5 linked regions of the Xenopus tropicalis genome follow. The protein of the gene in region 4 interacts with the protein of the main gene of each other region in a biochemical or structural test. Links are inferred from orthologs where the notes say so. Each region holds a gene or a part of one and is shown on either strand. Other genes may lie near its edges. The genes, in order: ranbp3, ranbp1, abl1, xpo1 and adar.

Region 1 (2,539 bases), on a different chromosome or scaffold from region 4:
TACTGGAAATTGGTGTTTCGCCGATGACTATACACTATCTTTTATAAAAATTTAAAGCTGGACCTTTTGGATATTTATAGGACAAAGCTTTCGAGCATTCTTCAGTAAGAACACCCAAATGAATATTTGTTGTTAATGGTATATTATTGTGTAATGATGTTCTGCATTAGAACTCCCAGTTCATTTAGTTTCTCACCTAACTTATATGTTATGCAGTTTTAGGATAACAGTAAGGGGCATCTTATTCTTTTCAAACCTCTCTCACAATATGCCTAATAAACAAGGTTACCTTTAATGGCTGAACAAGTTAGTACTTTTTGTTCCCAAGGACAATGGGGTACAAAGTAGAAAATACTGGTGTCCTCAAAAGGCATTTGAAAAGCCCTACCAATGTTGTAATACCATGTGTCAGTGTACACCACAGTGGTTCCCTAACCTGCCATGGAAGCGCAAGACACGCAATCAGAGAAGAACAAAAGGAGTGGAAATGAACTAAAGGAAAACAATGATGAGAATACAGAATTCCTTAACTCTTTCCCTTAAATAAGGATACAAAAAAATAACATTTCACTTTTTTAGCACACAAAAAAAAGCATATATGTCAAACTAAAAAAATATCTTGAAGCACAACAGAAAGTTACCCAGAAAAAGGAAAGGAGAAAAACTGGAATATCCCATTTATAACCAATAGGTTTTAAGTCTTAAAGGAGAATGCAATTTGTCCAAGAGTGTTTTTAAAACTGTGTGTAGCTCCAAAGTGTATTCCAATTTGATAAGCCACAGATGGCAGTCATTTAAAGTTTAGAAGTGGAGGGACTTGGGAAAGGTAGGATGGTCCTATACATCTCTCAGAAAATGGGTAGGTCCTGGTCAAGAATCCAAAAATAAAAGCAATGAAGGGCATGAAAAAAATTTATACATATATTTACACACACAGATTTTTTTTGGAGGTTGGGGGGACGCAATAGGAAAAGACTGAGGCAACATTTCATTATATAAAAAGAAAATTACATTTTTGAATGATGGTATTGTCTTTGCTGTCAACTTCAGTTACAAGAGGGTGGTGGGGCAGGTGGAAATTTTCTTTGGCTCATCAATATGATGAGCGGTTATATCCTCAGACATCCAGGCAAAAGCTCTTCATGTATAAGATTGGATGGATTCCACGTGTAACATCTTCAGGGGGAAGAAAAATAAAAATACCTTGATAGGAACCCAAAGTATGTTTATTCTGATTTAACGTGAAAAAAAAAAAAAAAAAAAATAGCAGTTCCAGGGGATGGGTGAGAAGTCTGTGTCCTTAAGCTCTGCCTTGCTTTTAGGAGCTGGTCTTCAATACTCCATAAGGTTAGAAGGGAGCGGTGGACTATCACCCAATGAGGTTAAAGGGGAGCTGTTGTAAGAGGTGGGTGCTATGTACTGGATGCTGGTAGCTTGTCTCCCTCGTCACCGGGTGCTGAAACAAGAGAATAAGTGTGTTATAAGGGGGAAATCCCTTAAAGGGCACCCATTACCCTAAAATTGCTTCCCCCGCCAGAGATGGGGGCTAATAGAGCCCGCTCTCCAGTTAGGGGGGGGGGAAAAAAAAGCCTCCTACATGATTTGGGCAGCCATGTTGTGATACTTGCATGGGCATAACAAGCAAGTGCCACAACTTGCTCATTATACACATGCATGTGAAGGAGGGCAGTTGTGCATAATGAGCAAGTGGGGAGTCTCATTGTGTGCACATGCGCTAAATAACATGGCTGCCTGCACTGGTAGCTCCCAACCGGAGTGTGGGTTCTATTAACCTGCACCTCTGCTGGGGAAAACAAATTTAGGGTGATAGATGTCCTTGAAGGTTACTTTTGATCCAAATAAAACATCAAAATTAAAATTGTGTAATATCTGATTTTGTGATCTAAATGTAAAAAAAAACAAAAACACACTAAATGTCTCTTAAAGAAAATATTACCTCCAACATTTGCCCCTGAGGGGGTGAGGACATCGTCATCATCATCACTGTCCTCTTCAATGGACTGGGCCACTTCCCTAACAGGTTCTGGACACTTTATTTCAGCCTCCTGCTCAACATGACTCCTTAAAGCAAGGATGCGGTGATGTAATGCAGCAAAAAGCTGTCCAGTATCTTTAGAGCTTGCCTGATTGAACAAAAGAAAAACCTGTTAGCCTCTCTGGCAGCTAAATTACAAGTCTATTGTAACATATTAACAAATATAGACTGTTTTTATTACTGGGGTTTCAGCTGCTAGAGAAGCTACTAAAATCAATTACCAGCTATTCGTAAGTGAACTTTTCCTTATCACCAAGCCTAAAAAAGTTGCGACTTCAAGCAGCATTTACTATCTTATGTAAGATGAGGGAATCAATCTTAAATTAGTATTATATAATGAAACAAAATAAGGGATTTTTTTTTTTTAAATAGTATAGGAAGAACACCTTTTAAACACAAAAGCTTACATATTGTGCTCATGAGTGTACAAAGATACTGCTAGATCCAGCAGGCGAAAGGGATACATAATGTTCTTTACACAAT
Region 2 (2,771 bases), on a different chromosome or scaffold from region 4:
TGCCCCACTAACCCTAGCAAACCAAGGTGTTTAAATTCCACATTGAAGTGTAGAACACACACCACTACCTTACTTGTAAAGTATGACGACATTTATACAGGCCTGTCATTACTGAAATACAGTGCCACGGGAACCTAAGGCTGCAACTTATGAACATTTGAACAGCGACCATAAAATCTGCAGTTAAATAATCCTACTCTTGTGCTTTTACCTTTCTGAACTAGGATAGTGCCAATTATAAAAATGTTGTAAACCATAAGGAAATTGTAAGATTGCTATTTAATTAGAATGCAGACAGCAAAGCATGAGCTGGAACAGATTTCTAAGCAATGGCAGAATACAAATATAAAGTAGCACATACACTGGCAATGCAAGATGGTTTTTTTTTTTTTAAATATTGACATACTTTGGAGTGCAGATTTTTATCAATGGATGCAAATGTGTCTTTTAGCAGCACTTTAATGTCTTTTAAAAAATGGTGCGTGAAAAGTAAAAGGCACAAAACTGACTAGTCAGCCCCTTTATTAATACAATTCTTTACAAATCCTGTATGCCCATACCCATACAGGGGTGCTCTGTAACAGACTACTTACACATTTCTCCAAAAGAAAACAACTTGTGTCATTTAGATTTAAGACTCAGCACAGCAAATCCTGCAGGCATTGCATTCTATATGTAATGGTAATTTAAATGTAAGCAATACAGTACAGTAGAAGGGTTAGTGGAAGAGATCTGTAAGCTAAGCTAACACATGCATCTTTTCCCCCCAAGTGTAGAGAAAGAACATGTGGCACAAGACAACCTAGTCTTTGGTAATCCAATGCTAACCGATGCTTCACAACATTTTGTGGAAAGGATGTATGAGAGTAAATCAGATTAAGGCTGGGGCCCTATAAATCATTAATTTCTGCTGGCATTCATGGAAAACAAAATGTATCAGTCATCAGCTGAAATTTATTCTTCAGTTAAAGTCATACTACCAAGGGCAAAAAAAAACACACCATTCATCCAATCAAACCTTCCTGAAGTTATGCAGTGTTGATTGAGATTACATATCCTTGTTTTCAGCCCCAAGACTGCCACTGCTGAAACATTTCATTTATACATAACAATTGGAGATTAAAGTCCCATTCTTTGAACTTTTTTTTTTTCAAACTGGCTTTATTCAATAGTATGGATGACTATAAATAAGTGTTTCCACTATGGAAAAAGAAAGTGAACAGTACATTTTCATGACCGGGGAATGGATTTTTTTCTTCTTAAGGGCAAAAGCTTAGAAAAACAACCTGAATGTTTAAACTCAGTTCTTTTTACTTTGTTATAAAGTCCCTTGTAAAAATAAAAGGTACAAGGCTCTGGATGATTTATTGCTTTTCCTCTGCTTTATCCTGCTTGGCATCTTCTTGCTTGTCCTGCACTTTTGCCTCCTTTACAGACAGCTCTTCTAGTTTTTCTGCCACTTTGTCGGCACTATCATTTTTGGTTGTATCTGATAAAAAAAAAAAAAAAAACTGGTTTCAACAAACACTGACAATTTCATATACAGTTACCCTTAATACACAGCATCCCCTTTCAAAATTGTGGAGAAAATCATTCATTCCACATATCCCCCAGACTCCTCAGTTTAGTTGCGGTTAGTGCTACAACTTAGAAGACTATTTTTTGTATGATGCGGGTGCACAATGTTATTGTGTTACAGGTTGTATGTATAGAATGATGCACCAAACATTTGTAAACATTCATGAGATATTTTATCATGATTTAATATGTGTTAATAAGTAGAAATTTAGTGTGTGCACGCAGCCTTTGGTAAGCTTAGAAAGGCAAAAAAGCCATGTTCAAGTAGTTTGCAATGAAGATACTTAACAAGACACTCTTTGCTAGTTTGGTTAAATAGCAGCATATATAAGGCTATATTCAAGCAATCATGACACTGGTTCTGCATTGTTTACCTCTTGAATTCACATTTTTGCAACCAAACATGTAGTCACTGCCTTACAAGACCCTGAAACCATTCAATTATCTAATTCACTGTAAAATAATTAGACTGGCAAAGGGTAAGGATTATTTTAACGTCACCAACTTGATCAGTATTAAACACCCAAGATGTGTATTTCTTCTGCAAATGGTAATGTGTTTCAGAAAAAGTATTACAGAGGAAGGGGAGTTTCACTTCAACTACTCCCACTGCCAAGACAGTCTTTACTCAGTTAACAATAGGTTTCATATTGGGCCCAGCGGGGCTCAAAATGTTGTCTGAATATTAGAATATGGGCTAAATAAATTATGTTTTTTCAAAGATCAGTGTTGTTCGATATTTTTGCTGGAATATATCGACCCTCATACAAGGTAGGGAAGGGTCTTTTCAGTACAAGCAGCTCAGACCTACCTAGAATCACCTACAGTGGGCTGAGCTCATCAGTCTTATATATTGCATGGTTAAGTAATGTTATCAGCACAACAGTACACTTTAGGTCTTGAACAATTATAATTACCTTTTCTTTTAAAAAAGCTTTAGCTGTATTAGTAAAATTCCTGAACAAAAAAAACAAGGCCTAAGAGTAATCACAGCATATTGGTTCAGATAACTATCCCATGATCTACAAGTAGCATTTCTTAAAAACTAAGAAAGCTTTGATGTTGATCTTGCAGTTTATTTTGCAGACTTAAAAAGCACCAAAACTGGAGGCTGCAGTTAGGTACAGAGTGAGTCTGCAGTTAGGTACAGTGTGAGTCTGCAATACTTACACTGACAATCTATGATTTATCTT
Region 3 (3,999 bases), on a different chromosome or scaffold from region 4:
TCAGGATAATTGCCTTTCTGAGTGCCTGGGGGGGAACAAGAAGAATAATTTCCAGATGAAGCCGCCAGTTCAGCGGCGCAGGTGAAATGACCTCTGGCCTCCCTTTTGCGATGGCTTTCTCTGCTCCTCTAATAATAATTCCTATGGCATTCCCATAATCACTATTTCCGTCTCCCCGGGTGCTGAAATAGTTAATGAGAACAGCAGGCTCTCTCTCCCCCCCCCCCTTTCTGCCAATAATGGAACGAGCCTACATAATAGCCAAATCTCTCGAGTGAAGCCAATAATTTCAATGAAGGAAATCACGTCCGAGTTAATGAAAATGATTAACACAATATTCCTGTTTATGCGCAGCCGACCCCGCCACGGCGATTTGGTTCCGCTGCCGATAATAAGCGCTCGCACAGACAAAAAAAAAAGGGAGAAATTGGACAAATAGTGATGTTTTGCAATAAGCGCCGGAGGGAGAGTAAACAGAAAACTTTCTGTCAAGCGTTGCTGGGAGGCGGGGCTTGGGGCTGCGGGGAGGCGGGGCTTGGGTGTGCGGGAAAGCAACTGGTAGCGCCACTTGCACTTTGCCATATTTAAAGGGGATATAAACCCAAATATAAAAAGTTGCCTAATGACAGAAAATCCAATTCAAACCAACTTCTCAATATCAATTCATCCCTCGCGGTCACTGGTTACAAAGCTATCGGTAACTGTATTCGCTCATTATGCTCTGCAAGAAGTAATTGAGACAATTTGCAATTGGTTTTCATTTTTTTTGCTTTGTGTTCAGATGCTCTCCCAGTTTGGTAATTCAGCAGCTATCTGGTTGCTAGGGTCTTGCTTACCGTAGCAACCAGGCACTGGTTTTAAATTTGACACTGAAATATAAATAGTAGAGGGGCTGAATAGAAAGATAAGTAATAAAAAGTAATATTAACAATAAATTGCAGCCTCGCAGAGCAATCGATTTAACTATAAAAAAAATATAAGCAATGAAGACCAACTGCAAAGCTGCTAGGAATAGGACATTCTATAACATACTTAAAGTTAATGCAAAGGTGAACCATCAATTTAAGTTGGCCAAATTGACCAATTTGGCCAAAGTCAGCAATGTATTGGCCTGTGTATGGGGCCCCCCACCAAGGGGTCTGCCTGCATGATATCTGACCAAGAATGGACAGGATATCGATTGGGCAGGGTTAATGTTTCCATCCTAGGAGAAAATTGGTGTGTGAATGTGGTCCTCATCTGATGGGCCTGTAGGCCCCCAGGCCAATGATTGGATCAGTCCAATTTGGCCCTATGTGTGGGTGGCCAAACTGGGCCCAGGTTTGTTAAGATGCGTGAGTGGGTGCTGCCACACTGCTTGCCTAGGCTGGGGCACTTTCCATAGGGAGCAAAGGCCCGAGACAGTAAATGCATGGGTGAGGACCCTCAATTGGGTCCTAAGCTGTATATGGTAACTTGGGCCCCCTGAGAAAAAGTTCAAGAAACCGTGGCCTTGGACAAGGCAAACAATATGGCTGCTGCCACTCGCACGTATAAACAAACAGAACCCGATGGCTTTGTGGGTATAACAGAAGGTTTCCAGGCCTTTGGCTACTCCATCTGTTGCCCCCCATGGGAGAGAGTGGGTTATAGAATGGATTCTTCCTTCCGTGACGCAAGTGGAACAGTAAAACTGCAGCCTGAGGACACCAGAAGAAGTGAAAAATAAACTTGCGGTGGAGCGGGGGCCGAGGGGAAGGCGGGCAAGTTGGCAGTGGGACTTAGTTCCCACAGGTGGAGTGCCAGCCCCAGATGACAGCAATCCTCGAGGGGCACTACCTATCGACCCCCCATCTCCAGGAACCCCATGATCAGCCATTCCTAAGCAAACGCATGACAGGATGTGGGAAATGCTATAAAAATGTATTTTTTTTTGGCCAGAAAACGCCCAACATCGGGTCGAGTGGTTGTTTTTTGAACTTTGGGCCAGCTGAGGATGCTGGGAGTGGTAGTGACACAAGCTGCACGGGGTTAATTAACCCCTTTGTTGCTAGGCCGTCCCAGCTAGCCAGCGCCAGGCAAGCCTGAATGTTTATGTAATCCTTGCCTGGAGCGAGGGGGGAAGCAGCCTTCATCTAATCTGTGCTGAGGCCTAGGAGAAGGGGATTAGAGATTGGAGCACTCCAGCTGGCTGCGGCCAAATCCTGGGCCAGTGGAACCCCCTCCTTTCTGCCTCCGCCCAACCCCTTTTCCCCACTGACACCCCCTTATCTCACCTTCGAGATAGCAGCTGGAGGACGAGGAGAGCCCTTTCTTGGATTTGCAACCCACCAACTTCAAGCAGATTTCCAACATTTTCATGTGTTGCATGCAGGATGCGCCCGCTCCCTTCTGCTGCCTCCTGCACTTTTTCTTCCCTTCCCCACCCTCCAGCATGCGAGGAGAAGACCAGCTCGGGTCAGGCCACTTGGCCCTGGTCGATTCCAAGTCTGTTTGACGCACTTGGGCTGTGGTTCACTCCCCTCCTTTATGGAACTGGAAAGCAGCAAAAGCCAAAGAGAAGCAAAGAAGCCCAAGGCCCCCGGCTCGGAGAGGCTCTCTGATGCTTTGGGTGGCAGGGATTCACGCCACCGACCCCTGGGGGTCAATCTCACCCATTTTTATAGGAGGGGGGGTCCCGGAGGCAGAAAAGTGTAACTTGGGTACTCTTCAGGCTAAGTTCTTGCAGAACGGTGGGACTCCTCCGCTGCTCATTCTCTCAGTCCATTAGGCAGGCTGTGTTAGGCAGGGAGAGCTGCTTACGTTAGACTGCCAACAAAGGGCCCCCTTCATGCTCTGGCTGCCTCTAGTGATGACATCCGAGGTCTGGCAACGCCTACATATGCACAGAGCATTGTTAACCCTGTCCTGGATGCTCAGCCCTCCAGCCTGACGAACTCTCTCCCAATATCCCAGGCTGAAAGTTAGTGGGGAGACTTGTAATTCAGCTCTGATTGATGGCTCTGGTTATGGGGACCTCAGACTCCCCCCATCTCTGCATAAGATATACAGGGGGATACTGTGCACAGCACTGAGTACAATAGCTATTTGCACACAGAAAACGATAAGGGGATATTTGGGCTGAACTGGAATAATGATTACTAATAAGGTGATTTCCATGCATTTTGTATGGTGGCCCTTGAGAGATAATATTGCTAATAGATCCAGATCGTTCCAAGTTTTTAATGATAAAAAACGCCTGCCTCCTGTAGTGCCCTGGCTGGCAGCATTATAGATATATCTGGTTCTGCAATACATTTAGTATCCTCCTAAAACCCATCCTGGTCTTCAGCAGATCTAGGACTAAGCCAGGTAGATACCTGCATGGGTCTGTACCCCCCCCACCCTGCTATACCCCCTTCCCAGACCTGCAACCCAAACCTATCCACAATGAGTTAAATTACCTTCCAACCCTGTAACCCAGGAAAACCGGAAGTGATGTCACCGTGGGCCGAAAGTGACATGAATCCGGAGGCAGATCAACCAGTTAAGGGCAACTAAATAGCATTACCATTGGAGGTGGGAGAGCAAGAATACTTGCTCACTAGAGCAGGCTACCCAACCAGGATTTGGACTGCAAAGTCCTAATCTGCTCAGCAAGGCCTGAGTAACCATCTTTCCTTGTGGCGGGTATATATGCTGTACTACCTTCCCTATTAGAGAGGTGAGATAATGGAATCTCAAGCAGAAGAAAGCTTACACACACAGTTTACAGCAGAACAATGAGGAATTCTCATTCATATATTAATGAACTATGGAACTTATGAGTTTCAGGAACATTCTCCAGCCAAATCCGAAATAATCTATATGCCAGCCAATGCATTCTTCTAGGCACAGGAGCAGTAGGAGGTGGGTTACCTTGATCAGTTACGGCAGGGATGGTCATTCAAAAGCCCAGCCTGAAGGTCACTAGGGGTTAGATTTGGGTGTGATATATCTCTATTGTAACTAATTTAGAATGGTTGATAAACTGATATTTTC
Region 4 (3,522 bases):
ATGAACTGCACCTTATATATGAGCGTGCTGATGAGTTTGGTTTCAAAGATATATCCTAGAGGAATCCAGTTAAGAAATCGAAGGAGCGTTTCCAGAGTAGCATGAACAAGTGGAGCATTTTGTGAATTTTCCTAAAAATTTTTAAAATATTGAATTAGCATAGATTAGTACTAGTACAAGATGCATTGCCTGTTCTTACAATTAAGCATAAAAAGGTTTTATATTTGAATACCAGTTTCTAACTGTATATTATAAAGAAAAGTGTACACTATGGATATATTAGGGGTCAGTAACAAGTGCAAGAGCATTTGCAGGGCTGCAAGTTTATCTGCATCAGTCGCATAAAAAAAAAAATTAATATCAACTTTCAAGTTTGGAAAATTGAGTTTGTTTTTCTAAATCAAACAAACTCCTATATTGAATGCTCATTTATTTATTTATTAATAAGGAAAACACTTGAATACCTCAAATTTTTTCGAATTTACAAACTCAAAGAACTCAAGTTTGAATATGTAGTTTGACTTGCCTAGGACTTCCACTGACTTCTATAGAATCTCACAAGCTTTTAGATGGCAAATTTTTGCATTTGAGTTTTTGGGTATTTTGCACTTAATACCAGATATTCAAGATCTTGAAACATAATTTGAGTTCAAGTTTAAGAGCAAAAAAACTTGAATGTTGATAAATCTCCCCCTAAATGTACTGGCGTCAACCATGTTCTAGCACAGGGGTGGCCAATATGTCGTTCTCATGTGGATTTCTGGTGGGCCGCAATGAAGCCGGGGATGCGGAAGTGCTGCGTGAATGCATACGTATGCTGCGTCACGTATGTACTCATTCACGCCGCACTTCCGCATTCCCCGGTCATCAGTTGATCGGCGATGAGAAAGGTCTGGCCACCCCTATTCTAGCATGTTGTTATACTTGGCACCACTGAATGCCTCCTTTTGCCAGGCCACTTTAGGACGCCTGGCACTACTGCCACCTCTGAACCAGGCAGTAGTTCCAGTGCTCACAATGGCCTGCATCAACTGTTGAAGCAAGACTCAGCAGAACACATCACTCTCATCTCAGAGATTATTCCAACTGAAGCGTAAGCACTAATTTAGACACACTGCCTGCAATCGCTTCAGACGCATTTCCCCTGGCAACCACAATTACATTGGAATTATGTGAAAATGTTGCACTGTGGGTAAAAAAAAACACATTGTGTTGGAAATTTGTACTTTGCAAACTCAGAAAAATTAAACCCTTCTAACTACCCAAAATAGAAACCTCATTGTGACAATGCTAGTGCTAGAGACTATTTGCTGAAATGTTAACAAAATTTTTATTGTGGCAAAAACAGAGCAGCAACTGCTGTAACTTACCATTACAAACTGACACAGCTGAAATATCTGGGAGAACTCATTGCACATACTGCAAAGGGAAAGGAGCTTTCAGTTATTTATCAGCAGAGAACAGAATATAAAAACATAGAATAGAATATGTAATATATTTGTATACTTTGAGCCACATTTATAGAAATCACCTTCAAAAGGCCCAAGAGAAATATTTTAGAAAAGGATACTAACATTTTTAAAACTCATTGCTAAATCATCCCCACAGCTAGGGTTCCAGAGGGCCTTATTTTTAAGGTGCAGCTGCTATGATATACCATCTCACTTAGGAATTATTCATATACAATATTAAGTCATATTAAATAAAAAATTGTAGTGTTTTACTTAGGACATCTCAGGAAAGTAACAATTTAGTGGGTCAAAGACATATGTATGGTTAGTCATGCGAAGACGTGCAGGCATACCTAACCAACACAACCTCTATGGCAGGGTCCTAATTTCCCATTTTTGATGAGAAAGGTTTCCTTAGCTTTTTAGCACTAAAACATAGCACAATCGCACTCGGTTAAGACCAGGGTCTCTAACTGTCGCAGAATGCTAAATATGTATAGCCAGTATATTTACAAAACAAAGTATACACGAGCAGAAAGAAAGCAAGGGTGCAAGGTTATTAAACAAACCTGTCTTTCAGGTGTTTGGCTTTCACTTGTGTTATCTGACCACTGGAAAAATCAAAAACTTCTTCACTTAACAGTTTCAGAATGACCATGTTGTTCTGACAAAGGCTTTCACTGGTTCTGCTTGCTCCCACAATATCACTGATAAACGTGGGCCAATGTTTAGGCCATTCCTGTTTTAATATCTAAAAATGAAAAAACAGTTGAAAAATTACATTGATGTACCTGAATGGAAGGTTTATTCACTATATAATACACAAGAGGAAAAACCTCTAAAATTACCTTGTAAATGGTGCTTAGTGATGTGATTTTTGGTGATCTGGAATGTTGTGTACATCATATGACATACAGAAACATGATTTAAACAATTAACTATTAAAAAAAAAAACAAAAAAAAAAAAACAAAAAACCCTTAAAGAAAGAAATTCCCCCATGCCCAGTAAAAAGCACTATGCATGAGGTCTCTTGTATTTATATGGTAGTGATGAGCCACTTTGACTCCTATTAGTGTTATATTTTATCAAGGGCAGGGAGCTGGGTCACATTCCATATATCAACTTTTAAAGGAGAAGGAAAGGCAAAGTCACTTGGGGGTACCAAAATGTTAGGCACCCCCAAGTGACTTGAATCGCCTACCTTTTACCCCGGGCTGGTGCCCCTGTACGGAGAGAACAGCACCAGCCCGGGGTACCTGCAGCGCTTACTCCTTCCTGCTTTGCGAGCGTGCGCATGTGCAGTAGAGTGAAAAGCCGAACTTTAACAGAGAAGTCGGCTTTTCACTTTACTGCGCATGCGCCTATGTGTTAGTCTTAGTGAAACGCAGGCAGAAGGAGGAAGCGCATCGCTCCAGGTACCCCGGGCTGGAGCTGTTTTCTCCTAATAGGGGCACCAGCCCGGAGTACAAGGTAAGCGATTAAAGTCACTTGGGGGTGCCTAACATTTTAGCACCCCCAAGTGACTTAGCCTTTCCTTCTCCTTTAAAACGAATGTCTTGGCTATTTTTTCTGAGGGTTACAGTTTCCTTCAGGTGTTATAATAACACATTTTAAATAGTATATCTAAAAAGTAAACTTTTCCAGTTCATTAATAAATCCAGCCAGTGAGCAGCAGTAAGCCTTGTCTAAGTTCCATGGAGCTTATTAAAACGAAATGTTAGGGTCAATTTGTTTTTCTTCTAATAATTTCTCTGTAGCTAAAAAGATTCCATAGAGATTTTAAGTTTAATGTGATAAATGTGTGGCTCTACAAAGTGTACTGATGTATACAGTAGTAGTACTTACTGGTTTTACACTGACTTTTAGCTAATGCACAAAAATCACCTCTCCTTGTTTATATCTTTAAAGATCCTTCCCAACTTTTAGTCTTATGACACAAGACATGTTTGCTGCTGCTGTGAAGCAACTGTCATTGCTGATGTTGTGAAATGGAATGTCACAGAACTCTCATTTGAGCTTTTTATAAGCAGAGGTCCACGTGTCACAGATCAGCCAGGGTACTTTCCCTTA
Region 5 (3,522 bases), on a different chromosome or scaffold from region 4:
TTCAACCGGCTAGAGAAGCTGCTGGCGTGCCGAGAGAAGAACCCCGTGAGTGGCCTCCTGGAGTTTACCCACTACTGCTCCCAGCATTGTGACTTTGTCCTCCTCAACCAGAGCGGGCCCTCCCATGACCCCCGGTAAGGTTAATCATCACTCAAATCCCCAGGGTACATTTTAGCAAGAGGTTTCTTTTTAAAAAAAGGAGAGGGGTAATAAGGTTTGAGCCCCATATATTTTCAGTGATTTCATCATTTCAGGCTCTGTTTATTGGTCACTTCATTTGGGCATTTCCCATTGGCAAATAGAGCACACTCATTCACTGAGAAGCTGCAAGAAACATGTCAGTGAATGATGCCTGAAACAGTAACTGTAATAGCCCACTGGCCCATTACATCAAGGGTTAAGCTGGCTATAACATGGGCTGCTGGTTTGGCCCCTCCACTGCATCAGGAGGTTATTGGCCCCTATATGGTGGCCTCCCAATGGTCTGATCGGTATTTATTGGGCAGGTTTAAAAATCCATAGGCTTGCTATATAATCTGGGCATTGGTTTACTGGCCAACACTCTGACCTGGCATTTGTCCACTTGCTTGACCTTGCCAGTGAAGCAGATCTCAAGGTGTTGCTTAAAGGGGTTTTTCATCTTTGAGTAAACCTTTAGCATGGCGAAAAGAGTGCTATTCTAAAGGTGGCCATACACGGGCCGATTGTAGCTGCTGATATGGGTCCCTTAGAAAGATTCGGCAGCTAATCGGCCAGTGTATGGGGCCTACCGACAGGCCTGCCCAACTGATATCTGGTCTCAAATCGGGCAGATCTCGATTGGGCAGGTTAGAAAATCTAGTCGGATCGGGGACCACAACGGCTCGTTGGTGCTGTCCCCGAACTGACTGCCCCCATTGCCGCCAATATAATTGGCCAAACGATCGAATTAGCCTACACGCTCCCCGATATCGCCCACCTTTAGGTGGGGATATCGGGTGAAGATCCGCTTGCTTGGCAAGATCACCAAATCCTAACGTGTATGGGCACCCTAAGACAATCTGCAGTTGGTCTTCATGCTGTCATTTTTTTAGTTATTTTACTTTTTGTTCTGCAGCTCTCTACTTTGGCGTTTCAGCAGCTATCTGGTTGCTAGGGCCAAATGGCCCTAACTTCATACACCCCATTCTTTTTTTTTTCCATCCTGAGGGCCTCACGTTTCAGTTTATTGCCTTACACCGCACCCTGCCAAAATCCAATTGCTTCTCTGTCCCCCTTGCCGTAGGTTCAAAATCCAGGCAGTGATCGACGGGCGCAGTTTCCCGGTGGCGGAAGCCAGCAGCAAAAAGACGGCCAAAAAAGATGCAGCGGCTCTGGCTCTCCGTATACTCCTGCGCGAGGAGCAGGGCGGGACGGAAGAGGAGGTCATGGCAGAGGGCGCACAACTTCCAGACGTTAAAGAAGAGGTGGGTGCTTCACGTGGGGGTGCCGGGGGCCTTCACACCATTCAGACATTTGTGCCATTACAAACCCTGCCGGTAAGTAAGATTACTATTCGTATTAGTGTTTATCCCGGTTGTGTTTGTCCGGTTCAGACCGCTCTTTTCTCTCACAGTAGTGCCTCTCTCTGAAATAGGTTTATCCGTTTGCTTCCGCAGCTGAAAGTTCCGGCACAGCCATTTTTCCCCAGCACCAAAAATCCCATCAGCATTCTCATGGAGCACGGGCAGAAGTCTGGCAGTATGTGCGAGTTCCAGCTCGTGTCTCAAGAAGGACCTCCCCATGACCCGAAGTAAGTGCCAGCAGTAACTGCCAGGAATCTCCGGGGGGGGGGGGCTCTTCTCTAGCAGACTGGTACATAAAGACCCTGCTGAAATGTCTTGGCAGTGCCGTTGTGGATAAGTTCGTGTTTAGCCCATATAACTGTAGTAAGAAACAAGTTTCTTACTGTGTAAGTAAAGGTGGAGCTGTGTAAGTAAAGGTGGCCATACACAGTAAGATTTGCTCATTTGGCAAGGTCACCAAATGAACAAATCTCCCCCCCCCCCCCCCCCCCCCCCCATATGTCCACCTTGGGTCTGGCTATATCAATGCGGTCCACGATCCGACAAAAAATCAAGCCTGTCCCATCAACGTGGACAGATATCGGTCAGGGAGGCCTGTTGGAGGGCCCCATACACGGGCAAATAAGCTGCCAACTTGGTCTTTAAAGGGGACCTATCACCTTAAAGAAATAATTCCAAATCCTTTTATATCATGTTAGTTGAACAAAATAAACTTTACCTATACAGGTATGGGACCCATTACCCAGAATGCTCGGGACCTGGGGTTTTCCGTAATTTGGATTGCCTATCCTAAGTCTACTAAAAAAATATTTAAACCGTAATTAAACCCAATAGGATTGTTCTGCCCCCAATAAGGGGTAATTATATCTTAGTTGGGATCAAGTACAGGTACTGTTTTATTATTACAGAGAAAAGGGAATCATTTAACCATTAAATAAACCCAATAAGGCTGTTCTGCCCCAATAAGGGGTAATTATATCTTAGTTGGGATCAAGTACAGGTACTGTTTTATTATTACAGAGAAAAGGGAATCATTTAACCATGAAATAAACCCAATAGGGCTGTTCTGCCCCAATAAGGGGTAATTATATCTTAGTTGGGATCAAGTACAGGTACTGTTTTATTATTACAGAGAAAAGGGAATCATTTAACCATTAAATAAACCCAAAAGGACTGTTCTTCCCCCAATAAGGGGTAATTATATCTTAGTTGGGATCAAGTACAGGTATTGTTTTATTATTACAGAGAAAAGGGAATAATTTAACCATTAAATAAACCCAATAGGACTGTTCTGCCCCCAATAAGGGGTAATTATATCTTAGTTGGGATCAAGTACAGGTACTGTTTTATTATTACAGAGAAAAGGGAATCATTTAACCATTAAATAAACCCAATAGGGCTGTTCTGCCCCAATAAGGGGTAATTATATCTTAGTTGGGATCAAGTACAGGTACTGTTTTATTATTACAGAGAAAAGGGAATCATTTAACCATTAAATAAACCCAATAGGGCTGTTCTGCCCCCAATAAGGGGTAATTATATCTTAGTTGGGATCAAGTACAGGTACTGTTTTATTATTACAGAGAAAAGGGAATCATTTAACCATGAAATAAACCCAATAGGTCTGTTCTGCCCCCAATAAGGGGTAATTATATCTTAGTTCGGATAAAGTAGAAGGTACTTTATTATTAGTACAGAGAAAAAGGAAACCATTTTTAAATATGTGAATTATTTGATTAAAATGGAGTCTTTGGGAGATGGGCTTTCGGTAATTTGGAACTTTCTGCATAATGGGTTTCCGGATAAGTGGTCCGATACCTGTACTACATTCATTATATAAATCTTGTTTCCCTCGGGCTTGCCAGTACACAATCACGGCTTTGCATCATTCCAAAATCTTGTTTATACTGCACTATCTGAAGTGCTGAATGGAAAGCGAAAGTAATTTCCTGCCCCTATGCCTGAAGCATAGAGGCGG

Evidence for each region.
Region 1: the proteins of xpo1 (region 4) and ranbp3 form a complex in vitro, tested with the Homo sapiens proteins (2 studies listed by BioGRID). The link is inferred for Xenopus tropicalis from reciprocal best matches to the Homo sapiens genes XPO1 and RANBP3.
Region 2: the proteins of xpo1 (region 4) and ranbp1 form a complex in vitro, tested with the Homo sapiens proteins (3 studies listed by BioGRID, with this or other methods). The link is inferred for Xenopus tropicalis from reciprocal best matches to the Homo sapiens genes XPO1 and RANBP1.
Region 3: the proteins of xpo1 (region 4) and abl1 interact in a test that uses a peptide from one of them, tested with the Homo sapiens proteins (2 studies listed by BioGRID). The link is inferred for Xenopus tropicalis from reciprocal best matches to the Homo sapiens genes XPO1 and ABL1.
Region 5: the proteins of xpo1 (region 4) and adar form a complex in vitro, tested with the Homo sapiens proteins (2 studies listed by BioGRID, with this or other methods). The link is inferred for Xenopus tropicalis from reciprocal best matches to the Homo sapiens genes XPO1 and ADAR.

What each region holds. Positions count from the first base shown.
Region 1 is NC_030677.2:101,757,089-101,759,627, forward strand, and holds the end of ranbp3 (ran-binding protein 3), read right to left. Parts: intron 2,145-2,539; coding exon 1,958-2,144; intron 1,457-1,957; coding exon 1,413-1,456; 3' UTR 510-1,412; downstream 1-509. UniProt on the Homo sapiens protein: Acts as a cofactor for XPO1/CRM1-mediated nuclear export, perhaps as export complex scaffolding protein. Bound to XPO1/CRM1, stabilizes the XPO1/CRM1-cargo interaction. In the absence of Ran-bound GTP prevents binding of XPO1/CRM1 to the nuclear pore complex.
Region 2 is NC_030677.2:155,381,453-155,384,223, reverse strand, and holds the end of ranbp1 (ran-specific GTPase-activating protein), read right to left. Parts: intron 2,717-2,771; exon of another isoform or gene 2,585-2,716; intron 1,490-2,584; coding exon 1,365-1,489; 3' UTR 506-1,364; downstream 1-505. UniProt on the Homo sapiens protein: Plays a role in RAN-dependent nucleocytoplasmic transport. Alleviates the TNPO1-dependent inhibition of RAN GTPase activity and mediates the dissociation of RAN from proteins involved in transport into the nucleus.
Region 3 is NC_030684.2:12,824,036-12,828,034, forward strand, and holds the start of abl1 (tyrosine-protein kinase ABL1), read right to left. Parts: upstream 2,817-3,999; 5' UTR 2,416-2,816; coding exon 2,256-2,415; intron 1-2,255. UniProt on the Homo sapiens protein: Non-receptor tyrosine-protein kinase that plays a role in many key processes linked to cell growth and survival such as cytoskeleton remodeling in response to extracellular stimuli, cell motility and adhesion, receptor endocytosis, autophagy, DNA damage response and apoptosis.
Region 4 is NC_030681.2:33,568,530-33,572,051, reverse strand, and holds part of xpo1 (exportin-1), read right to left. Parts: intron 2,203-3,522; coding exon 2,021-2,202; intron 1,420-2,020; coding exon 1,371-1,419; intron 132-1,370; coding exon 12-131; intron 1-11. UniProt on the Homo sapiens protein: Mediates the nuclear export of cellular proteins (cargos) bearing a leucine-rich nuclear export signal (NES) and of RNAs.
Region 5 is NC_030684.2:142,279,570-142,283,091, forward strand, and holds part of adar (double-stranded RNA-specific adenosine deaminase), read left to right. Parts: coding exon 1-134; intron 135-1,264; coding exon 1,265-1,517; intron 1,518-1,637; coding exon 1,638-1,771; intron 1,772-3,522. UniProt on the Homo sapiens protein: Catalyzes the hydrolytic deamination of adenosine to inosine in double-stranded RNA (dsRNA) referred to as A-to-I RNA editing.